Canis lupus familiaris: one gene and its partners. The protein of the gene in region 3 interacts with the protein of the main gene of each other region in a pairwise test. Links are inferred from orthologs where the notes say so. Each region holds a gene or a part of one and is shown on either strand. Other genes may lie near its edges.

Region 1 (3,747 bases), on a different chromosome or scaffold from region 3:
CCTAGAACACTGGCCCTGGTATGCACCACCCACATGCCAGGTCTATTGCACGGTGAGCACTGGTTACTGGTGGCTTCTCTTCCTCATCCACTGATATGCAGGGCACGGAGACACCTGCATGCGCCATCTGTGTGGCACACGGTGGTGTTCGGAAACAACTCTTGTCCCATGCCCATCCTGTCCACCAAGCCCATTCACCCACCCCGGTACTCACTGGCCCCCATCGGGCAAGTCTAGCCCCATGATTCGGTCATGAGGCTGCAGGAGGGCTGTGTAGGCAGCCAGATTAGCGGGAGAGCCTGAGTAGGGCTGGACATTGACTCCCCACTGTGCAGGATCCAGGTCAAAGGCCTCCAGGGCTCTGCGCTGACACAGCAGCTCAATCTCATCCACTACCTCGGCTCCTCCATAGTATCTGCCATGAGATGGGGGTTTATCAGGGCACCTGGAGAGGGTCCCAGTATCCTCAGCAACCAGCGGCAAAGGGCTGGGAAGGCCACTCCTCTATCCATACTGAGGGCACGCCCGTCAGGGATGGCCTCCCAGCCCTCTGGTACCTAGCCCTCACCTCTTGCCAGGATAACCCTCCGAGTACTTGTTGTTCAGACAGGACCCCAGGGCCTCCAGCGCAGCTCGGCTGCAGAAGTTCTGGGGTGAGGGGGGTGGGGGGTAATGTCAGAAGGTATTGAGCCCTCTTCCCTGGAGCCTCCCATAGCCCCTTCCTGCCAGAACCCCAGGCTGCAGGGAGGAAGGAGCTGGGCTCCACTGAGAGCTGTTTGCTCATTCGGCATTCCTTGTCGGGCCTGAAGAAAGGCCAGAGGAAGCATCCTGAGACACCTAGCTGCCGTGATAGTTGTCCCCAGCAAGGCCACCCGTCCACTCGAACCGGTGCTTCCAGGCCCCTCTTTCCTCTCGGGAAGGGGAAGGGGCCAGACTAGACTAGAAGGGCTCCGGACAGCTTTGGAAGCTCTCTAATGTCCCCACCCCATAATCCAGACTGGCCCTGCCTGTTCTTCAGTAAAGAAAAGAAGGAGATAAGGCCCAGCAGAAAGGCCCTGAGTCCGAGAGGGAAATCTGGAGAAACATCAGTATGATGACCTGTTATCTCCTGCACCCACTGCGGCCTATGCCTGGGCCCTCTCCCCAAGCCCCACCTCTGAGGCAATGAGCTCCAGGCCACGACACTGCCTGTCCTTCTCCCTCTGCAGCAGCTCCCACATCTCAGGATCACTGTCTGACAGACTCTCCTGGCCTGTCCAGCCCCTGCTCGCCACTTCTCTGGTCTGGGTCTGGGCCACCTCGTTGTGCTGGCACCGGGCGGCCATCCTGACCAGCCGCCCACATCTCTGCAGAGGCTAGGAGAGGAAACACCACGGTCAGATAAAAAGCATCCAAACAGTCGCCCAACAACCCTCAGCCATGCTTATCAGGCTTTCTGGCTCCAAACCTCACAGCCAGTGGTCCAGCCAGCCTTTCCAATTCTTACCACCCCCGCCTCCACCTTCAAAAAGCCAGTTCTAGAGCCAAGGCTGAGATCAATGTCCAGGGGGTGGTTCTGATTTGGTCCATTTATTTCACCTCAGAATTTCCCTCCACCTCGACCCATGAACCACTCTGCAAAGCCACGGGGTAAACTTTGTCCTCTAGAAGGCCTATGTCTCTGGAGCTCAGGGGCAATCCACCAAGGTTCCAGAACCTCCCCAACCCACAGGTACCAAAGGGTCCCCTGCAGGGCCTCCGTGGCAGTCAGGGGGTTGGAGCTGAGCTAGCAAGGACTCAGGCTGCAGACAGCAGACGTGGTTTCCAGAGCAAGAGGTGGCGGAGCGGACCTTTAGCGACCTCTGGGGGAAGGGGTTTGGTGGTGGCGGGAGCCTTCAGGCAGGGAAGCCAAAACCAACTTCCCGCCCTCTGTGCCCCGACCCGTCCCGTCCGTCAGTCCGCAGCGCCAAGGAACCCCTGATGTAAGCAGCGGGGCCGGGTTGCATCATCTGCACGGCTCGGGGCTGGCTGGACGGGCTCAGCCCCCCGGTCCAGGGGCCCCGCTCGCTCCCCAGGGTCCGCGGGGCATCTGAGCGCTCATCTCCCCCAACGCCACGTGAAGGAGGCGGTCGCAGGCCCCGGGGCGCCCGGTCGCCGGGACGCGGAGGGGCCCCAGCGCTCCCCGGGCACCGGGCGCGGCTTCCCGAACACTGCCGAGCTGCACGCCCGTCCCGGGGGACCAAAACCACGTGCGCGAAGCCGGGGGCACCCCGGGGCTGGTGAATGGGAACCGGGGTCGGAGGGGAGCTCGCGTTCTATTGGCCCCCGGTCTCCGGAGCCCCATTCTTACCCGAGTGGCCCAGAGCAAAGAGAAGGGCAGCATCGCAGCCCGGGTCGCGGGAGGTCTGGCCGCCAACTCCGGCCGGGGGAGCGGGGTAGGAAGCCGCCTGACCCGACAGCGCGTGCGCGAGAACGGCCCGGGCAGCCACCGGATCAAGGGGAGGGGCCTACGCATGCGTGCGGTGGCCCCTTGAGGGTCTCTTGGGAGTTGTAGTTCCCCGCCCCCGCCCGCCCCCAACCCGCGGGTTCCCCATCTGTAGCCCGCGGTCAGAGGCTCTCCCCTGAAAGAAAAGAGATCCGGTGCCGTACCACCGCCTCATTGTCCTCAAGCTCAGTGGGGTTTTTTTTCCATAGTCCAGACAACAGCCCTTTATTGGGTGCCTAATGAAAACCTAGCATTATTAGGCTTTTTGAAAATATGAAGACTCCTCTTGGAGCTTGCAAGCCGTAGTGCACTGGAGAGCACCTGGCTCAGAAGGTGAGACTTGAGTTCAAGTTCCACCTCTGGGACAAACTAGCAAATTAGCCTATCTGGCCCTCATCCGTGATTCAAAAATAACATGTAGTGAGGATTAAGTGAGTCTGTATGTAAACATGGTCTGGGATGGATCACCTTCCCCTCATCCTCTGACCTGCCTCCTCCATGGTTGTCTCCTCCTCCTGGGACACCCCGGAGCTGAGTGACATGTCCCTGCCTGTTGCTGCACTTGTTGAATTTTGCTACCTGTTCACCTCCTGCTGCTCCAGCAGTAAGCAAGCTCTCTTTATATCCCTGGGGCTCTAGATCCTTGGGCCTGGAAAGGATCTTCATTTTAGTCTGACTTTGTCGGGACTCATTAGCCCCTCTAGAAGTAGATCCCCAAAGCTGGGTATTGGAATTGTCTGGGAAATGTAATCTAAACATATGAATGTGAGGAGGCTTCTCTTCTAATTCAATGGATGAGTAGACATTTGCCCACTCGTGGTGACAGTGAAACTTCTCCTCAGTGATTCTATATATTTTTTAAGATTTTATTTATTCATGAGAGACACACAGAGAGAGACAGAGAGACAAAGAGACAGAGACACAGGCAGAGGGAGAAGCAGGCTCCATGCAGGGAGCCTGACGTGGGACTCGATCCCGAGTCTCCAGGATCAGGCCCTGGGCTGAAGGCGGTGCTACACCACCGAGCCACCTGGGCTGCCCTGATTCTATGTTGTTGTTGTTGTTTTTAAGATTTTATTTTATTTATTCATGAGAGACAGAGAGAGAGAGAAGCAGGCTCCATGCTGGGAGCCCGACATGGGACTCGATCCCAGGTCTCCAGGATCACACCCCACGTGAAAGCAGTGCTAAACCGCTGAGCCACCGGGGCTGCCCTGATTCTATGTTTTTAATAAGATTTTATTTATTTGTTTTTTTAATATTTATTTATTTATTTATTTGAG
Region 2 (3,647 bases), on a different chromosome or scaffold from region 3:
ATACCCATGGAGCACGGCCACGTAAATTTAGCCAGCCAGGAGAGGGCATTCCAATAACCAAACTGTGCCTAGCGGGTGTCCTGTTTTGTGAGTCCAGGGCCATGTAGTGTTCAGATCCTGCCTCCCTGGGAGCGGGGGTCACATCTTCCACTTCAGAATCCTGAGCTGGGTGTGTGCAGGCTCCCTCTTGCTTTTCACCAGCATGCCCTCCAGATGGCAGTAATAAGCAGAAAAGAAAACACTGGGAAATAATGAGTCTAATGTACAGTAAAATTGGAAATTGAATTATAGCTCAAGAAAAAGGACAGTAGCCTTGAGGTCCCGATCAACCTGGACTCTGATCACTTTTGTTTGCTGCACCCATGTGTTAGGTTACTAGCAAGTTAATAACCGCGCGTGAGCAGTTCAAGGCTCAGTAGAATTGCTTTAGACATGAAATAAAGCTAAAATGAATTTGTGTCCAATATCATTGGCATTAGTGCTCATTACTTTTGTGGTGTAATGCCTCGAACCATCTAAAATCAATTTTAAAGATTACCTATTATTTTATAAAGAAAATAAAACACATTTCCAACAGAAATAAAGCAGTGAGTATAATCCTATGAGCAGTTCCTTGTACCGTGGCTGGCAGGAAGACCACTGACAGGCAGACACAGGAAACTCTGCAAACGGCGAGCACAAGTTAATATTAATGGGTCGTTGCCATATAAATCCTCTCTTGAAGTATTTAAAACAAGAGTGGTAAACATTTGTAAATGTAGAAAATAAATCTCAAAAAGTAGTAAAAGGGATTTACTACTTTACTACTTGTACTTGGTAAATTAATCTTCATCATGTGATATGGTCATCTTCTGGGAGAAGCCAGGGCAGAGGACACGGAGGGGAGGGGAAGTACTTAGCTGCTTTGCTTGAGATTTTGCCCTTTTAAAAGGCACAAAGGTTTTACTTTTCCTTTTAGTAGGCCTGTAAAAATATTTTCCCAAGCTACATTGGTAAGCCTGTTGAAGCTAGATTTTTGGTTTTCATGCTCTACGTGTTTAGACTTTTGCCTTCTTGAAGAAAAGGACTCTGTTTTATTTTGGAGGAAAGGAAATCTTCTAATGACCTTGAGTTTTAAGCACATTGACATAAATGCCCAAAAAAGATATGCTTTCCTAATTATTTGTGTAAAAATGCAGAATATAAGGTAAGGTTCATTTGGTCTGACATACATGATCCGGTTTTCATAGAGCTCTCTATGCAAAATCCTGTGTTGGGCAAAATTATACTCCGGTTTTAGTGTTTTAGTTTTGTCCCCTCTATCTGGTCTCTGGTCTGAGTGCCTGGTATTATATAATTACTGAACTATTTATAGAGACTAAATTATTGTATATCAAGTTCTTTCCTAAAATGGTAAAACCAGTTTTAGTTTAAAAATAAGGGTGTACTTTGACTTAATTTCCTGTTTGAAGACATGAAGGTCAGAAAAAAAAATACCACATTCGGTGATAATATGATTTTGAGCCGGTACAGATTTGTTGGACTTGTTTTTAGCTTTCCCTGGAGTTCTGATGCACTCACTGGTTGAAATCTGTACTCTCTGTAAACTTTGACCTTGAATGTGGGAAGGCTAATAAGTACTTATCACAAAATTATCATATTTTAAGTGTATATATGGTAAAATTGGCTGGGAGTAATTTTATTTGGTGGCTTATTTTAACGACATAGAAACACAGTGCCACCGAAGATTATGGAGAAATTTTTAGTTAGTCTTAGGTATTCAAAAAAAAAAAGCCACTTCTCAGGTTAGCCCTTGTAAACATGTACCTAAGCATACTTGTAAAGTTTTAAAATATAAGACATGCTGAGAAATATATTGACTTTTTAATACAATTTTTAATAGTTGTTGAAAGTTTTGATGTTTCATGACAGCCTAGCCCATAAAGATCACAGAATAGACGTACTGGTTGGCAGTAAAAAAAATTTTTTTAAGGAAAATAAATTTCTAGGAGTATAAGCAAAATCTTTCCATAATTAATCCACATGGTCACAACAGATGGTTAAATTGAAGAAATGTCCTTGAAGTTATTCTTTTAACAGATGTTCTTAACTATTAGCTTCATGTTTTTACCCACCTAAATTTCCAAATAATTGAATAAAAGTTAACATATGCTTTCATCCTTTTAATAGGCAATGTCTTTAATTGATGCAAAGTTTGCCATAGTGAAGAGATTACTTCAGTGGCACATTTTTAGCGTTTCTCTCTGTCCTACCCTCTGTCCATCCCTGGTCACCGATCATTTCTCCTTTTTCCCTTTTACATAGGGTCCTACAGAACGCACTCCTGCTCTCGGATAGCTGCCTTCACCTCTTCTTGCAGAGCCACTTGAATTCAGAAGACATTGAGGCTTGCGTTTCTGGGCAGACCAAGTACTCTGTAGAAGACGCGATTCACAAGTTTGCCTTGATGAACAGACGTTTCCCTGAAGAAGATGAAGAAGGAAAAAAAGAAAACGATATAGATTATGATTCAGAAAGGTATTTCCTTGCATTTCGATGTAATGTATATGTGTTTGCATAATACAGAGTGCACATATGCATGTGTATAGATATATCTACACACTTCACTTTTTTGTTGATGTAATACTAAGATAATGAAAAAATTAATTGACTGAGATTTTATTGAGCTGTGACAGCTCATCATAGTAGTCTTCACACACACCTCCACACTGAATTAATGAATGCAGTAGAAATTCAATTATCTGCATTCTGATTATGTGACTTTCATTTAGTCAGACTTGAATTATTCGCGTTTAAATTATCTAGCTAAAAAAATATCCAACTGCACTCCAAATGGCTAATTAAAAGTCCAAATTTCCTGTCTCTCTTTGTGACTGGAGATAATTAAAGTTCTCCTCTGTTACTCAGGCTTTGAGTGTGTTGTGAAAACCAATTTCCTCTTTTTATTATTTTCCCCCTCTCTTCTTTTCCAGTTCATCCTCTGGGTTTGGACACAGTAGTGATGACAGCAGTTCACATGGATGTACGATGAGCACAGCTCCACAGGAATCCTGAAAAATAATTCTAATGTTACCATCTTAGGAATAGCAAATTATGTCCACTCATGGAGAAGAAAGCTTGCTAATATATCCTTACCTAGAGCTCACTGTCATGATATTAGGAATTTAAATTCTTAAAGACGCTGGGTTGTTTATTAGTGGTATTTTTATGTTGTGTCTTATTTTGGCTAAGCTCCTGTAAAAAGCTAAAGGCCTGTGAATGCAGTCTCCTTATAGGCAAACATTATTGGTAAAATAAGATCCTGCCCTGGAATGAAATGATATATGCATTTAGAAAAATCTCCTTGGTTTTTACTGAATTTTAAAAGATAGGTATATAGGTAGCCTGCATTTAAATTCCAGACAGCACATTCCTTCTTGCATCAGTGGGACAGTGTTAGCATCAATACAGCCTGTATGATCTTAACCACGATGGAAATTGACAGCATAGACCAGGCCGCCTCTCTCAGACATGTGGCTGATATTTTGTGGGCACCCACCCCCTGCACTGGGGAAAAACACTTAGCTTTGCGCTGTTTGATTGGAATATTTTAAGAAGTTTCACCTTTCCAGTATTTTATTTCACATTTAGATGGAAAGTGTATCTTA
Region 3 (3,747 bases):
ATCCTGCAGAGAAAAGACGTGGGAGTCATTCGTCTGGTGCTAAACTGCTTACGAATCCACCCCACCCCCACCCCCACCCCCGAGGAGGGCGGTTTACCTCCTTGCTTAGCAAGACCTCTCATCTCAGGAAGGAAGGAGGTTCGGTCAACACCTGACCCTTCACGCGGAGGGGCGTCGTCGTCTCCTAAGCAACCCAAACGCCCCGCCCCGCCCCACCCCACCAAGGAGTTCCCTTGGAGACGCCCACGAAGAAGCCGACTTTGGAGAAATCGGTGCTTTTCCCCTCCCCACCCCCACCCCCCACCCCCCGTGTTGGAGAACTAAGCCCAGATTGCGCTCCTCCTCCCCCGCCCCTTCCTCCATCCAGCTAAGGCCTTACTCCTGATTGCTTGCACGCGGCGGACTGCCCTTTCCTCCCGGGGTGGGCACGAGCGTCCGAGCCGCGGGGCCGGGGGAGGGGGAGGGGAGGGGGACGGGGGCCCGGCCGGGGCGGCCCGAGCGGCGAATGCCACCGAGTGGCCGCGCGGGGGCGCAGCGAGGGCCACCGATCGCAGCGAGGTCGGCGTCACCGCGCCGTCCTCCTGATAACGCGGGGCGTGTTTTGTTTCCCCCAGGACTAAATCCCGAGAGCTAGCGCGGCGGGGCGGCCACCGCGGGTCACGCAGCCCGGGACCGGGGCGCGGGGGGGCCCCGCCGCGGCAGTTCAACCGCTCCCGAAAGGCCTGGGCGGGGCGTCCCACAGCTCCTGGGCGCTGATTGGCCGCTCCTTGTCCCCGCCCCCTCGGCCTGCGCGGCCTCGGTCTCCTTTGACCCCGATTTCAAGCCATGCGCCGGGCCGCGGTTGGTCGGGCCGCCCCGGAGCTTGAGTTCAATCCACCCAATGAGGAGCGGGCTTCGCGGGGCCTGTCGGGAAGGCTGGCTGGTGTATATAAGCGGCCTGCGGGGCGTCCCCTTCGCGCCTGGGTCGCCGTGCGGGTCTCGGCGCGGAGCTCGCTGTGTGCGGGAGGGGCCGGCTTGCGCTCGCTCGGGCGGCACTTCAGGGACGATGGCGGAGGGAGATAATCGCAGCACCAACCTCCTGGTGAGTCGCGAGGGGAGCAGGCAGGGGCCTCCGGGCTTGGGCGGGGGCTCAGCCTGGCAGCGCTCTTGCGGCCTCGTTCCTCCCACCGTGGTGGGCCCGGCCCTCCTCCCCCTCGGCCCCGGGTGGGTGCAGCGGGGCGGTCCCGGACCGGGCGGCCCTTAACACCCCGTGGGGCAGCTACGGGGCGAGGTGAGGACGGCGCGTGACCAGCCCCCGCGGATCGGGGAGGAAGTGGGAGAAGGGGGGGCTGCGATGAGCCTGGGGCGCAGGCCTCCAGGGGCCTGTCTGTCGAGCGCTTTGAACCCCAGGCCCCCAGGCTCTTCTACGGGGTTCCCCTCCTCTTCCCTTCGTTCTTTAGCCCCAATACTTGGGCAGGGGTGGGGGGAGGGGGGAGGACGGGAGAGGGGCGGGGAGGGTCAAAGGGCCACTGGCGAGAATTTGCTGGAGCTGGCGCAGCTTAAACCCGCAGGGAGGCTGTGAACTCACCGCGGGGAACTGGGATTAGAGGTCCAGCTGGAAGGACAGTGGGGAAGGACCTTGGGTTTGCCTGGAGTTTGCAAGGGAGGGGTGTGTGTGTGTGTGTGAGAGAGAGAGAGACAGGTGGACTTTAGAATAAGCAGGGGTCTGAAGGAACTGCAGTGGTGTCTCACGGGCGGATAAATCTAACCTACTTGTTTTCACGGCGCGATCTAGGCAAAAAACGAGAGAAATCCTTGCCTTTTTCTTTTCTTTTTTTTTTGTCCGTTGCCACAACGAAACAGCATTTCATCCTTGACGTTGGATATTCCAAGAGCCCGGGTGCTAACGAGTTTGGTGACCTTGCAGGGCAGCCGTGATGGTGCCAGATTTTCGTTTTGCATTGGTGTTTAGAAATGCACGGCCTGTTCCTGTAACGCACATGCCAGCACACTTGTCTGTGGCTAGCCGAGTTAGCTCCGGCCAAGTTCCAGTTAAGGGGAATTGATCGAAGCACAAAGAAATTGTCCAGCAAATTCACACAGTTTGTTGAGGTGACCGAGCCTGGCCCGAAGCTCAGCTGCTCTTTCCAGCAGAAAGCAGTGTAACTTTAAGCAGAACAAGGCCCTTGGCTTTGGATTTCCTGGGTTCAGATCTCTTAACCTCCATGTATCTGTTACTTCATCTGTAAAATGAGGCGAGTAACAATACCATCCTTTGAATTCATTGGGAGGATTAATTAAAGTATAAGCATATAAAATACTTAGAGCTTCTGGCACATAGTAATCTTCTGTTTAACTATATTAAGCGTGGTGTATATAAAGTCAGGAATGTTGAAGTCCCCCAAGTAATCAGTGTGGCACAGATAGATAGCATCTCTAGTAAGATTAGGCTGTCCTGTCCTCTCTCTTTTGTATATTTCCCCATGATAACATTTATAAGGGCATGTGGGTTTCTTTCTAGTTTTTTTCCTGTACCAAAATCAGTATAGGGTTTTTGTTTTTGTTTTTTTGTGTTTTTTTTTGCCACATTAGCTCATTCCAGAAGTCTACTTTCAGCTAGGTTGTCAGTCTTGCAGAGAAATTTGAAGTCTAACCAAATGTTCTGGTAAGTGTAAGAAGCACTCATTGTATGGAGATACACTGAGCTTGAGATGCCTCATGTAATTTGGTGAAAGTAAGTTTTACTTAATTGTGCAAATGATGCCAGCATCTAAAGGATTCCATTACACAGCGCTATTTTAAAAATTGAATGCTGTTCAGAGAGAGGCTTTCTTAATGGATTTAGAAGTAGGAGTATAAATCAATGAGATGACAAAACAACAGATCAATCAATTCTAACCACCTGAAAAATGAGCACATTTGAAGTGATCTAATTTTATATTTTGGGTGCTGCCACTTAGTGCATGACTTTGAGAAAGCTGGTTACCCATCTAAGGTCACTTAGATGGACCTTATCCATAAGGTCTTATAAGGATAAGGTCTCTTATCCCTACTTTGAGGGCCTCTACTAGGATTGTTAACATTATGTATGAAGAGTAGCCCAGTGCTTGGACTTGGTGACTTGGTGACTGTTAAATGGTAGGTTGCCACCTCCCCCCCCCTTAATTGATTTCTGTCTTGCTACCAAAATTGCAGAATTATTTAGAAACTAAGATAGTGATTTGATTGAGGGCTCTTTTACATTCTTGGTGTCTTAAAAAAAATTAACTGAGAAGCACAGAAATGTTGGGAGTGGTAAAATGATCACTTTACATGTTGGTCTTGTGTAGGCTGCAGAGACTGCAAGTCTGGAAGAGCAGCTGCAGGGATGGGGAGAAGTGATGCTGATGGCTGATAAAGTCCTCAGATGGGAAAGAGCCTGGTTTCCACCTGCCATCATGGGTGTGGTTTCTTTGCTGTTTCTGTAAGTGAGCTATTAAATTATTGTGGATTGTGCTTGTTATTAATAAGGGCTCAGGTAACACACAGCCTCTTTTGTAACCTATAATCTGTAAAGAATGCCTTTTCTTGGAGCAGTTCTCCTAGTTTTCAGTAACCTAAACCAGTTGAATAAATGAGTGGCTCTCACACTTTTTGGCCTAAAGAACCTTTATATTCCTAAAAAGTATTGAGGACCCCAAGGGGCTTTTGTCTCTTGATGTTTACATTAACCATTGCAGCTATGATGTCATCATATTCTGAAGCTTCCCAGAAAACCACTTGTGAGAA

What was found.
Region 1: the proteins of ARL6IP1 (region 3) and SHMT2 interact in binary tests that used the Homo sapiens proteins (3 or more experiments, as listed by UniProt). The two-hybrid records come from large-scale screens. The link is inferred for Canis lupus familiaris from reciprocal best matches to the Homo sapiens genes ARL6IP1 and SHMT2.
Region 2: the proteins of ARL6IP1 (region 3) and SNX10 interact in binary tests that used the Homo sapiens proteins (3 or more experiments, as listed by UniProt). The two-hybrid records come from large-scale screens. The link is inferred for Canis lupus familiaris from reciprocal best matches to the Homo sapiens genes ARL6IP1 and SNX10.

Annotation. Positions count from the first base shown.
Region 1 is NC_049231.1:1,710,021-1,713,767, reverse strand, and holds the start of SHMT2 (serine hydroxymethyltransferase, mitochondrial), read right to left. Parts: upstream 2,466-3,747; 5' UTR 2,363-2,465; coding exon 2,330-2,362; intron 1,712-2,329; exon of another isoform or gene 1,596-1,711; intron 1,540-1,595; exon of another isoform or gene 1,448-1,539; intron 1,356-1,447; coding exon 1,155-1,355; intron 649-1,154; coding exon 569-648; intron 416-568; coding exon 215-415; intron 1-214. UniProt on the Homo sapiens protein: Catalyzes the cleavage of serine to glycine accompanied with the production of 5,10-methylenetetrahydrofolate, an essential intermediate for purine biosynthesis.
Region 2 is NC_049235.1:39,728,486-39,732,132, forward strand, and holds part of SNX10 (sorting nexin-10), read left to right. Parts: intron 1-1,855; exon of another isoform or gene 1,856-2,304; coding exon 2,305-2,517; intron 2,518-2,903; exon of another isoform or gene 2,904-2,972; coding exon 2,973-3,054; 3' UTR 3,055-3,647. UniProt on the Homo sapiens protein: Probable phosphoinositide-binding protein involved in protein sorting and membrane trafficking in endosomes. Plays a role in cilium biogenesis through regulation of the transport and the localization of proteins to the cilium.
Region 3 is NC_049227.1:26,551,716-26,555,462, forward strand, and holds the start of ARL6IP1 (ADP-ribosylation factor-like protein 6-interacting protein 1), read left to right. Parts: upstream 1-922; 5' UTR 923-1,045; coding exon 1,046-1,081; intron 1,082-3,308; coding exon 3,309-3,442; intron 3,443-3,747. UniProt on the Homo sapiens protein: Positively regulates SLC1A1/EAAC1-mediated glutamate transport by increasing its affinity for glutamate in a PKC activity-dependent manner.